2 linked regions of the Nothobranchius furzeri genome follow. The protein of the gene in region 1 purifies or fractionates together with the protein of each later gene. This does not show direct contact. Links are inferred from orthologs where the notes say so. Each region holds a gene or a part of one and is shown on either strand. Other genes may lie near its edges.

Region 1 (3,822 bases):
TCGCTCATGTTCTTTGCTAGCATGCACGGTTCTGATCACGTGGGCTTTGCCTGCTGGGTCTGGCCACTGCTGGACAGAACTGCTGGAATTAAATTCAAAGCAGAACGGACTGCTTATGTTGGAGATTTTTGATGCAGTCTGATATAATCTGATACAGCGGTTTGGGGCTGATATCGAACCTATTTCTGGTATCAGTATCGGAACAGGGCATTCCTACTTTTGTCATCCGTTAATCTTTAGACTCGTTGATCTTGTAAAGGAAATGTTTTGTCCTACCTACAGACCGAACCCAGAAATTAGTTTTACTTCAAACGGCAATGCAGCAAATTGTCATTGCAGAAAATCTGAAATCAGAGTTTAAATTTCTAATCCACACTGTTGTAGAAGCCGCTGCAGATTATTTGTCGCTCTTGGTAGTCAGCCAAGTGTACTCATGCGTGACCTATCGTGCCCAACATCATCAGCTTTATCATTCAGGCCAATTAGTTTGTCATCTCCAATGAAGCTGAGGTTATAAAACGTTTACAAGTTGAATAACATGCAGCATGTCTTTTAGATTAAAAATCCTCTCAAAATCCCCATGGCATGCCTTCCACCAGAGTGTGAAAAGTTAGAACAACAGGTACAGCTGAGCCTTTACTGGTTTATTAATTATATTACTTATTTTATTTCTAATTCTAATCATGTTTCCTATTTTTAAAAGGTTCCACGGACTGCGTTTGCAGGCTGCAAATACAAATCTAAAAATTCACAACATAAAAATGGATCTGTGATAGTTGATCGCAGACATGCAGATTTTATATCTCAAGAAATGACTAGGTAAGTGTGTGGCGAAACGGAGCCAGCATGTAGACTTTCACTAGATAGTTTTTGTAGTCATAGTTTTTGCTAGATCTGTCAATTCTGGAACTCCCAATTAATATGAAGTCATCAGTAAGTAATTATAAAGTGCAATAACGCCTTAAAGTAATTCTGACCTAAAAATAAGCATAATCACAAGATGTATACGGTCAGGTTTTCGGTTTATGAAGGACCCATCGTGCAGGTGAGTGATCCAGAACAAAGGCAGGTTAACTGAAATATACTTAAATAAAATAAACTGAGGGCAAGGACTCTTCAGGAACCAACCAGGTAAATACCAGATTTAACAAGAGGATCTAACACGTGGTGCATGAACTGGGGTAAGGGTTTACCAAACAGGGACAAGTCAGCCAAAAGGCAAACAGGTGCATAATCGCTAACTGGGGGAGGCGGAGGGAAAAAATGGAACGACCAAACCAAAGGCACACTGATTTATGACATATACTAGTGTATGTTGTTTTTAAACATTTAAAATGACTTGTAGAATTAAACGTTCAAATGTGACGTTTGCACATCATTACTCCAATGTTGAGCTTATCACGACCGTGCATGTGGCTTATCTGGAGCACTCTGCTCCTCCGTGTTGATCAGCAAGTCTTATCTGCTTTGAAAAGGGAGCTCAAAGTTAGGAAACCTTGATGAACCACGGAGTTGCTGTTGAAAATGAACAATTCTCTGTTTTCTCGTTTAGGAGGAAACCATGTCTCATCTTAACGGATGTCCTGAAAACAAAAATGGGAAAGGATTTTAAAAGAAGGGTAAGAATGAGTAGTTTAACTAGAAAAAGAGGACGACAGAGGAAGAACGGTGAGGAAAGCAACAAAGAAGCACTGATCAGCAGGAACACTCGGTCTGTTCAGAAAGAAGCAGCAAATAATACCAGAAGCAAGAGTTTACCTCTAGAGAGCAGCTTGAAGATCACCACCCCCTCTTCTCAAAGGTAGGAAATTATTATCAATGTCAACGTTTTGGAACGTGATTTTAATAGAAAGTTTTATCCATATCGCTCCCAAACATTTACAGTTGAATCAGCCATTTTTCTTTTTTGTCTTTAGAAAAGGAGCCAAGAAAAGACAAAAAAAGTCTCAGGAGGACAAAGCAGAAAGCCTAGAAGCTGAAGAGGGGATGGTAGATGGTGATGGTGGTGAAGAAGCAGAAGAAACGATTGCTGAAGTGTTAGGTGGGTCAGCTTTTGTTAATGGTGACTTAAAATAAGTTATTTATAACATTCAGAGAAAAGGCTTTCATTCAGGATGATGTAGAAAAAAATGCATATTGATCATTATCAGTAATTATATAAAAAAAAACTGTAGAAAATGTATTTGAAGTGCGGCCCTGGCAATCTTATGCTATTCCTTAATTAAGTAATTTTAATGAAGAGCAGACACAAATGGACGCGTGGTGGCGGGGAGGATCAGCTAACTGGACCGGCCATCCTTTGGTGAATGTGAACCGTTGAAAATATTCCAGCTGAAATCTTAAGTGGAAGTATTTCTGTGTGTTTGTGTATTTTTGCCTTTTATATACATCCATCGCAGATATATTTGGCCTGTAAACAATGAGGAGGATGTGATTATTTATACAGTTTAAACAGGGAGCCAACAAATCTTTTGCTGCACGTTGTGCAACCTGTGCTGTTGCAGCTGAGGGAGAAGCAGACAGGGAGGGCGACTGGCTAGCAGACCTGCCCAAAAGAAGAGGGTCCATGTGTCAGACGTTTTTGCCTGAATATCAAGAACAGTGGCCCTCTAAGCTCCCTCACCATGCCTTTTGCACAATCTGCAGTTATGATGTGGACATAAGCCACCAGGAAGCTGCAGGTAAATTAGCCCCGGTGATGTGTGCGTATATGGTTTAAGCTACGGATGTCCCGATCAGGTATTTTGCCCTCGAGTCCGAGTCATTTTATTTTGAGAATCGGCCGATACCGAGTCCTGATCCGAAACTTTTGATACATAAAAAAATAAGAAAAGGAAGAAACAGTTCCAGAATGTTCCTTATTTTTTATTTAATTACCTTTTTATTAAAATTTTTAACAACATATCACTTCTGTGAGGTAGCTTGAACAATCAAGTAATAAATAACATAAATTCTTCACTTTAGGACTTTATTGCAAATATAAAAAGTCTAATATAAAAACAGATAGCACTTCAACTTAAACTGACTATATGGAAGTTTGACAGCCAAAACATGTGTAGAAATAATAAATTTCTTCTTCATACATTCTCCTGCAATGCCCTGGTCCTGTAGAATGAGCCCTGGCGTTTTTACTGTGATTGCCTATTTTTCTGTAAAATCACAGAAAAAGAGAGCTGCTCGGGTCGAGCAGGCTGCTTCATGCGCGTTCACGCTCAGGCATAGCCCGTAGCATTTGCTATCCGTAGCTTTAGCAGTAGAGAGAGAGGTAGTGCCAACTCAGCAATTTTATCGCTGTTCCTAACGCCTAGTGATGAACCTAGCTACATTTCTGAGGACCCTTAGCTACTTTCTGTAGAACTTTCTTCTAGATTTTTCCTGCAAATTAGCAACAAAATAGCCATTTTCGCTCCGAACTGTTCTTCGGATTGACGTTGTTTCAGGTGTCATCAAGGATATAAAAGTTACAGATACGAAGAATGTCACTGGCGCTTTAGCTCACTTAGTAAGATGTCTGACTCTCATGTAGGGGACCTGGGTTCGATTCCAGGTGTGAGTAGTTTATTTGGAGTTTCTTTTTTACATTAATGATAATTTTTTTACAGTTAGACGCCCAAATTTTTATTTGAGACGCGCCGAACGGCATTGAATTCACGGATTAAAAAGATGTGGGTTCAACTTTCATTTTGGAACAATTTTTCAAGCAAGGGAAGGGAATGATCTGAGCATGCAGGAGGACTGACCCATCATAAACCTTTGTTGGCTGTGCTGAAGAGAAACGTACAGAACCAAATTATTTAATTAAGTAGCTGCACGTTCTCCTGT
Region 2 (4,541 bases), on another chromosome or scaffold:
AGGAATCCACGCATTGTTAGGGATTGTTAGTTTGTCCTTATTGTCCTTCACTTTTCCAAATTATTTCAACCAAATTTCCCATTTCAAAACAAAATTTCCAAAATCTACAACCATCACTTCTGCTTAGGGACAATTTACTGCATGTATAAATTTAGCTAATATGCAATAGCATAAAGTTTTATGATGTGGCTTACTGTTTATGACGGAACAGCGATTAGCTAATGAATGATTTGCCAGTAGTAATGTGGTGTTAAAGATTCAGGTTGTTAGACATTTAAGCTCATGATAGGACATCGTGCTGTGCTCTGGTGCAACAATTCTGCACCGTTTAACCAGTTCTGTTTTAGACATTTAATAGTTGAAAATGTAAGTACTTTATAATACTTAAGCATATTTCTTTGTCATACGAGAATGAATAGTAGTCCTCTTAGATCAAGTGTGTCTGAGATCCCCATACCCAGCATGTTTTAGTCATCTCACTGCTGCAATACACCTGAATGGTTGAATTACCTGTTCAGCAGGTCACCAAGCTCTACAAAGGCCTGTTAGTCCCCCCTGTGCTAGGTTAGCTTCTAATGTTTATGTCTGAGGAAAATTTTGTTTTACTACGAAATGGGTGCATTATGATTACCAAAGTGCATAAAAGTAAGTGCATTGTCATTATAACAGAATGAAGATCTCCCAAAATGAGTCTACCAGTAAAACTTACCACTTCATTAGAAACATGAGGTCTCCACACGAGTCGGTTGCCCCAATGATCTTCTCTGGCTCTAGGCCCCTCTCAAAGCCACGTGCAACTAGGATCTCATCCTGAAATGTAAAAAAATAAAAAATAAAAAATTAAAAATGCCAGCTGAATATTTGCCAAAGGGCTATTTCATTGGCCATAAATTCAGCAATTCTAAACACAGGTCAAATCTAGATATAACTTATATTATTTAATAAGTATAGGTGTTGCCCATCACCTGCCCATAAGTTAATGCATTATTGGTAATTCAAAAAAACAATTTATCATTTTCATCTCAAAATTATACATTTTACAACATTTAGCTAAAATATAAACAGTCTTTACAGAAATCAGTTCAGAAGAGCTAAGTACAAATGCTCCCACGCATACAAATGATTCATATCAGAATGAGTGCGTTTACATGCAGCCAGTAACCCTTTTAAAACCCGAATATTCACAATAACCCGGTTCCGCAGGTCCTTGTAAACACCGCCAAAAACCTGGATATGCTCATAACCGGGTTTTTAAAAACCCGGTTACTACACCTGGCGTAACCCTTTTCTAACCCGAATGTTTGGTCGTGTAAACGCATACCGGGATATCCCCATCAAAGCGTGTGTTCTGCACATGCTCTGTTCGCAAGGAATCTTGGTCTTTTGAGTAGCGAGACGTCTTGTATGCGCCAGAACACCGGAAGTAAACAACAAGTTGGGAGCAACATGGCGAGTCGCGGCACAGCACCACACTTTCGCAGTGACGAAGAAACTAAAGCACAAACAAACGCGGTCGCCGTCTCTTCCGAACTGGGAAACGTGTTGTTGTTTTCACGGATACCGGAACAAGAAGAACCGGAAATGAGGCATATTGCGTCTGGACGTAGTCCATATGTCTTGACGCTACCCCACCGTCCGCATTTAAATCGGGTTATGCAAGTTAGGGGTAACTCTTTCTATTTATTGTAAACGGGCTTGTAAACGGGTTATTCTGATCAACTCAGAAACCCGAATACCGACCTTAACCCGATCATAACCCGGATATTGGCTGCATGTAAACGTAGTCAATGAAATTCACCTATAATGAAGATAATTTACCTCTTTCTTCTTCTTTGGCTTACTTCCTCCTTCCTCTTCTTCCTCCTCTTCATCAGAGCCCTTCTTTTTTAAGCTGCTGGGATCTTTAGTGCGTCCAGATGAGCCTGTGCTTGATTTACTGGCCCCGCTGCTAGGTGTCGAACTACCACCGCTGCTGCTGCTTTTCTTATAGGTCTTCATGAACTCTGAAATAAGCTCAGGGCAGTCTAGATTCTTCTCTGGCTCCCATGTGTTGTGCTTGCTGCAGAAAATCACAGCACAAGTCATTGAAATGTCACGTTCATTTTTAAAAGGGTAATATTGTGTGCTCAAACCAGCTTCACTGATGCTTTTTGTGCTGTGTGTGTGTGTGTGTGTGTGTGTGTGTGTGTGTGTGTGTGTGTGTGTGTGTGTGTGTGTGTGTGTGTAAAACGGGAATATCAAGTCACTGACCAGTAAACAGGTACTTGGTACTTACTCAGAGTATCCTTTCCACTTAAGGAAGAACTCCACCCTGCCTTTCACCACCCTCCTGTCCAGCACCTTCTCCACAACATACTCTTCTTCATCAGATGAGGACTCCTCTTCACGTGACTTTTTGCCCATCTCGGAGTTGGGTGCTTCACACTACACTCTTTTAGAGTTCGATGGCACTTTCCTGTTCACGACGAAATCACAAACAAGCATCTCACAAAACATGCCATTTTTTCTCAGCGCTCGTCCACATGTAAACACATAAATTTAAGCTCAAGCTGCAGGTTTGCAACCATGAGCGTTAGCCACACAACGTGGTTACCGTGCATCAATGAATATCTTCATTTAATCTCGTTCTTCCCACTAGCAGAACGATAAGCATGGGAAAACTGCTAATATAATGGCCATACATGTGCATTTCTCGACATATGCCCGTTTGAAATAGTTATATGCGACCAGACTGCACTCACAGAAAACGAACAAAGCACACAGTTCAATGAAGACCAAGGGATTTGTCCTGCTAACTAACCCCAAACTAGCCAAAGGAGCTAGCTTACGTGCTAAAGCTATGCTATACTCGCTAATTTACTTATCAAACAACTACCCGATACTTGCAACAGCGTAAAGCACATTTACAAAAACGCAGTTTCTTACCCTCGGAGTGTATAACCCACTGGATGTAGGCCGCTGGTCGCAGGGACTGCTCCGTTTATCTAGAGGCAGCAGTGCAGCTAATGCAGCACCAGCGTTAGCATCTAGCCTGTAGCACATAAAGGTGCCGTGCGCAAAAAGCGCGCGTTAAAAACGCACAATGAACATACCCGCCCCCAGTCTGCTGGTGACATAATAAATGTTTAGAAAACACGTTCCTTCCTACTAAATTTTAACTTTTCTATAACGTTAACGTTCGGTTTATAAAATTGTAGTAACTTGCAGTCACAATAATTTACAAAATAAGTATACACGATAATACAAAATAAAAAAAAACACAGCATAAAGGGTTACAATTATTTGACTGAAAATAAAGAAATTAATATATATACGTCTACTTTGTTGTAGTAATTTATGTTTTCATATATTTTTCGTTTAAATCTTGCTGCATTTATTTATTTCTCTATGTTCATGTTATTTTCCCCCTTTAGTCACCACACACAAAGCCCAGATTAACTAATTTGGCTCATTTTAAATTATACTTTAGCATAAACTCTTCAAGAGTTGTACATTTTGCATCGGTTTGTTTGATTACGGGACATCTTGTGTACCAACATGCGAATGATATTTCCCGTGTTGTTTAGCCAGACGGCAATTTGTCTATCTTTTATATTGTTTATTGTCTTTCTTAGGCTCGTTTCGTAGAAAAAAGTTAATAAGTCGTTTTTTCAGCACCTTTTAAATGTGAGCATTCAATTTCTCTGTCAATTCAGATAATTTGTTTATAGATGAAGGCACATTCATTTTTGGCTTTATGTAATTTAGGTCGGCCATTTTTCTTCATGGTCGACAAAGGCGAATGCCTACTACGCAGTGAATGGTTGTTCGCATTGATTGACAAAATTTAGACCAATCAAAATACAGTTCTGATTGACGACACAGTACCGCGGGAACTACAGACCAATCGCTGAGGGGAAGAGGCGTTTCCGTTCCTATTTCTTGTACGTTCACCCTGTCGCTGGTCTTGTCTGACGCAGCTAGTTCCTCTGCGGTCGGTTCTCAAGGAGTCGTCAAGGATAAAGCGGCAAAATGTCTAAAGAGGTGAGTGCTAAACTTATCAAAGGATATCAGGCCGTAAGATTAATAGTTTGGTTTTGGGTAGTTTTATTATAGGTTGGCCATACTTGGTGTTGTCGACGGACTGTGTGCCGTAGCTGCAGAGCTTTCTTGAAGCCGCCATTTTATAGAAGCTGAGCCTCGTGGCCTTTTGTTCTGATGATGATCTGTAAAGGACATCAGTGGCTTCTCTTCAACACCAGTCTTAAACGATTATATCCCTAACACATTAAACGACAGTGAGTACATATTAATTGTGTGTTGGCTCTTTGAAAGAAGGAGTTCTTTGACTTTAGTCTGAGCGGTTCCTAAACTGTAATGGCGGCGGTGCGCCTTCTCCACCCTATCCCTGATTTTTGATCAAAGACGCAGAGTTTGATATAAATGGTCCACCGACAATATTATTATGCGGAACTATATTGTGCATTGCTTCTCCTATGACGCAAATATTTTTGTGCAGGTTCCACGTGAGCCGGAGCAGCTCCGCAAGCTGTTCATCGGAG

The links.
Region 2: the proteins of sentrin-specific protease 7 (region 1) and cbx5 purify together in Homo sapiens (affinity purification with mass spectrometry; 3 studies listed by BioGRID and IntAct, with this or other methods). This does not show direct contact. The link is inferred for Nothobranchius furzeri from reciprocal best matches to the Homo sapiens genes SENP7 and CBX5.

Annotation. Positions count from the first base shown.
Region 1 is NC_091754.1:27,608,905-27,612,726, reverse strand, and holds part of sentrin-specific protease 7, read left to right. Parts: intron 1-556; coding exon 557-622; intron 623-703; coding exon 704-819; intron 820-1,552; coding exon 1,553-1,801; intron 1,802-1,916; coding exon 1,917-2,041; intron 2,042-3,822. UniProt on the Homo sapiens protein: Protease that acts as a positive regulator of the cGAS-STING pathway by catalyzing desumoylation of CGAS. Desumoylation of CGAS promotes DNA-binding activity of CGAS, subsequent oligomerization and activation.
Region 2 is NC_091755.1:25,772,144-25,776,684, reverse strand, and holds the start of cbx5 (chromobox protein homolog 5), read right to left. Parts: upstream 3,064-4,541; 5' UTR 2,926-3,063; intron 2,456-2,925; 5' UTR 2,404-2,455; coding exon 2,276-2,403; intron 2,060-2,275; coding exon 1,819-2,059; intron 811-1,818; coding exon 710-810; intron 1-709. Other genes in the region: heterogeneous nuclear ribonucleoprotein A1, read left to right, coding at 4,012-4,023, 4,499-4,541. UniProt on the Homo sapiens protein: Component of heterochromatin that recognizes and binds histone H3 tails methylated at 'Lys-9' (H3K9me), leading to epigenetic repression. In contrast, it is excluded from chromatin when 'Tyr-41' of histone H3 is phosphorylated (H3Y41ph).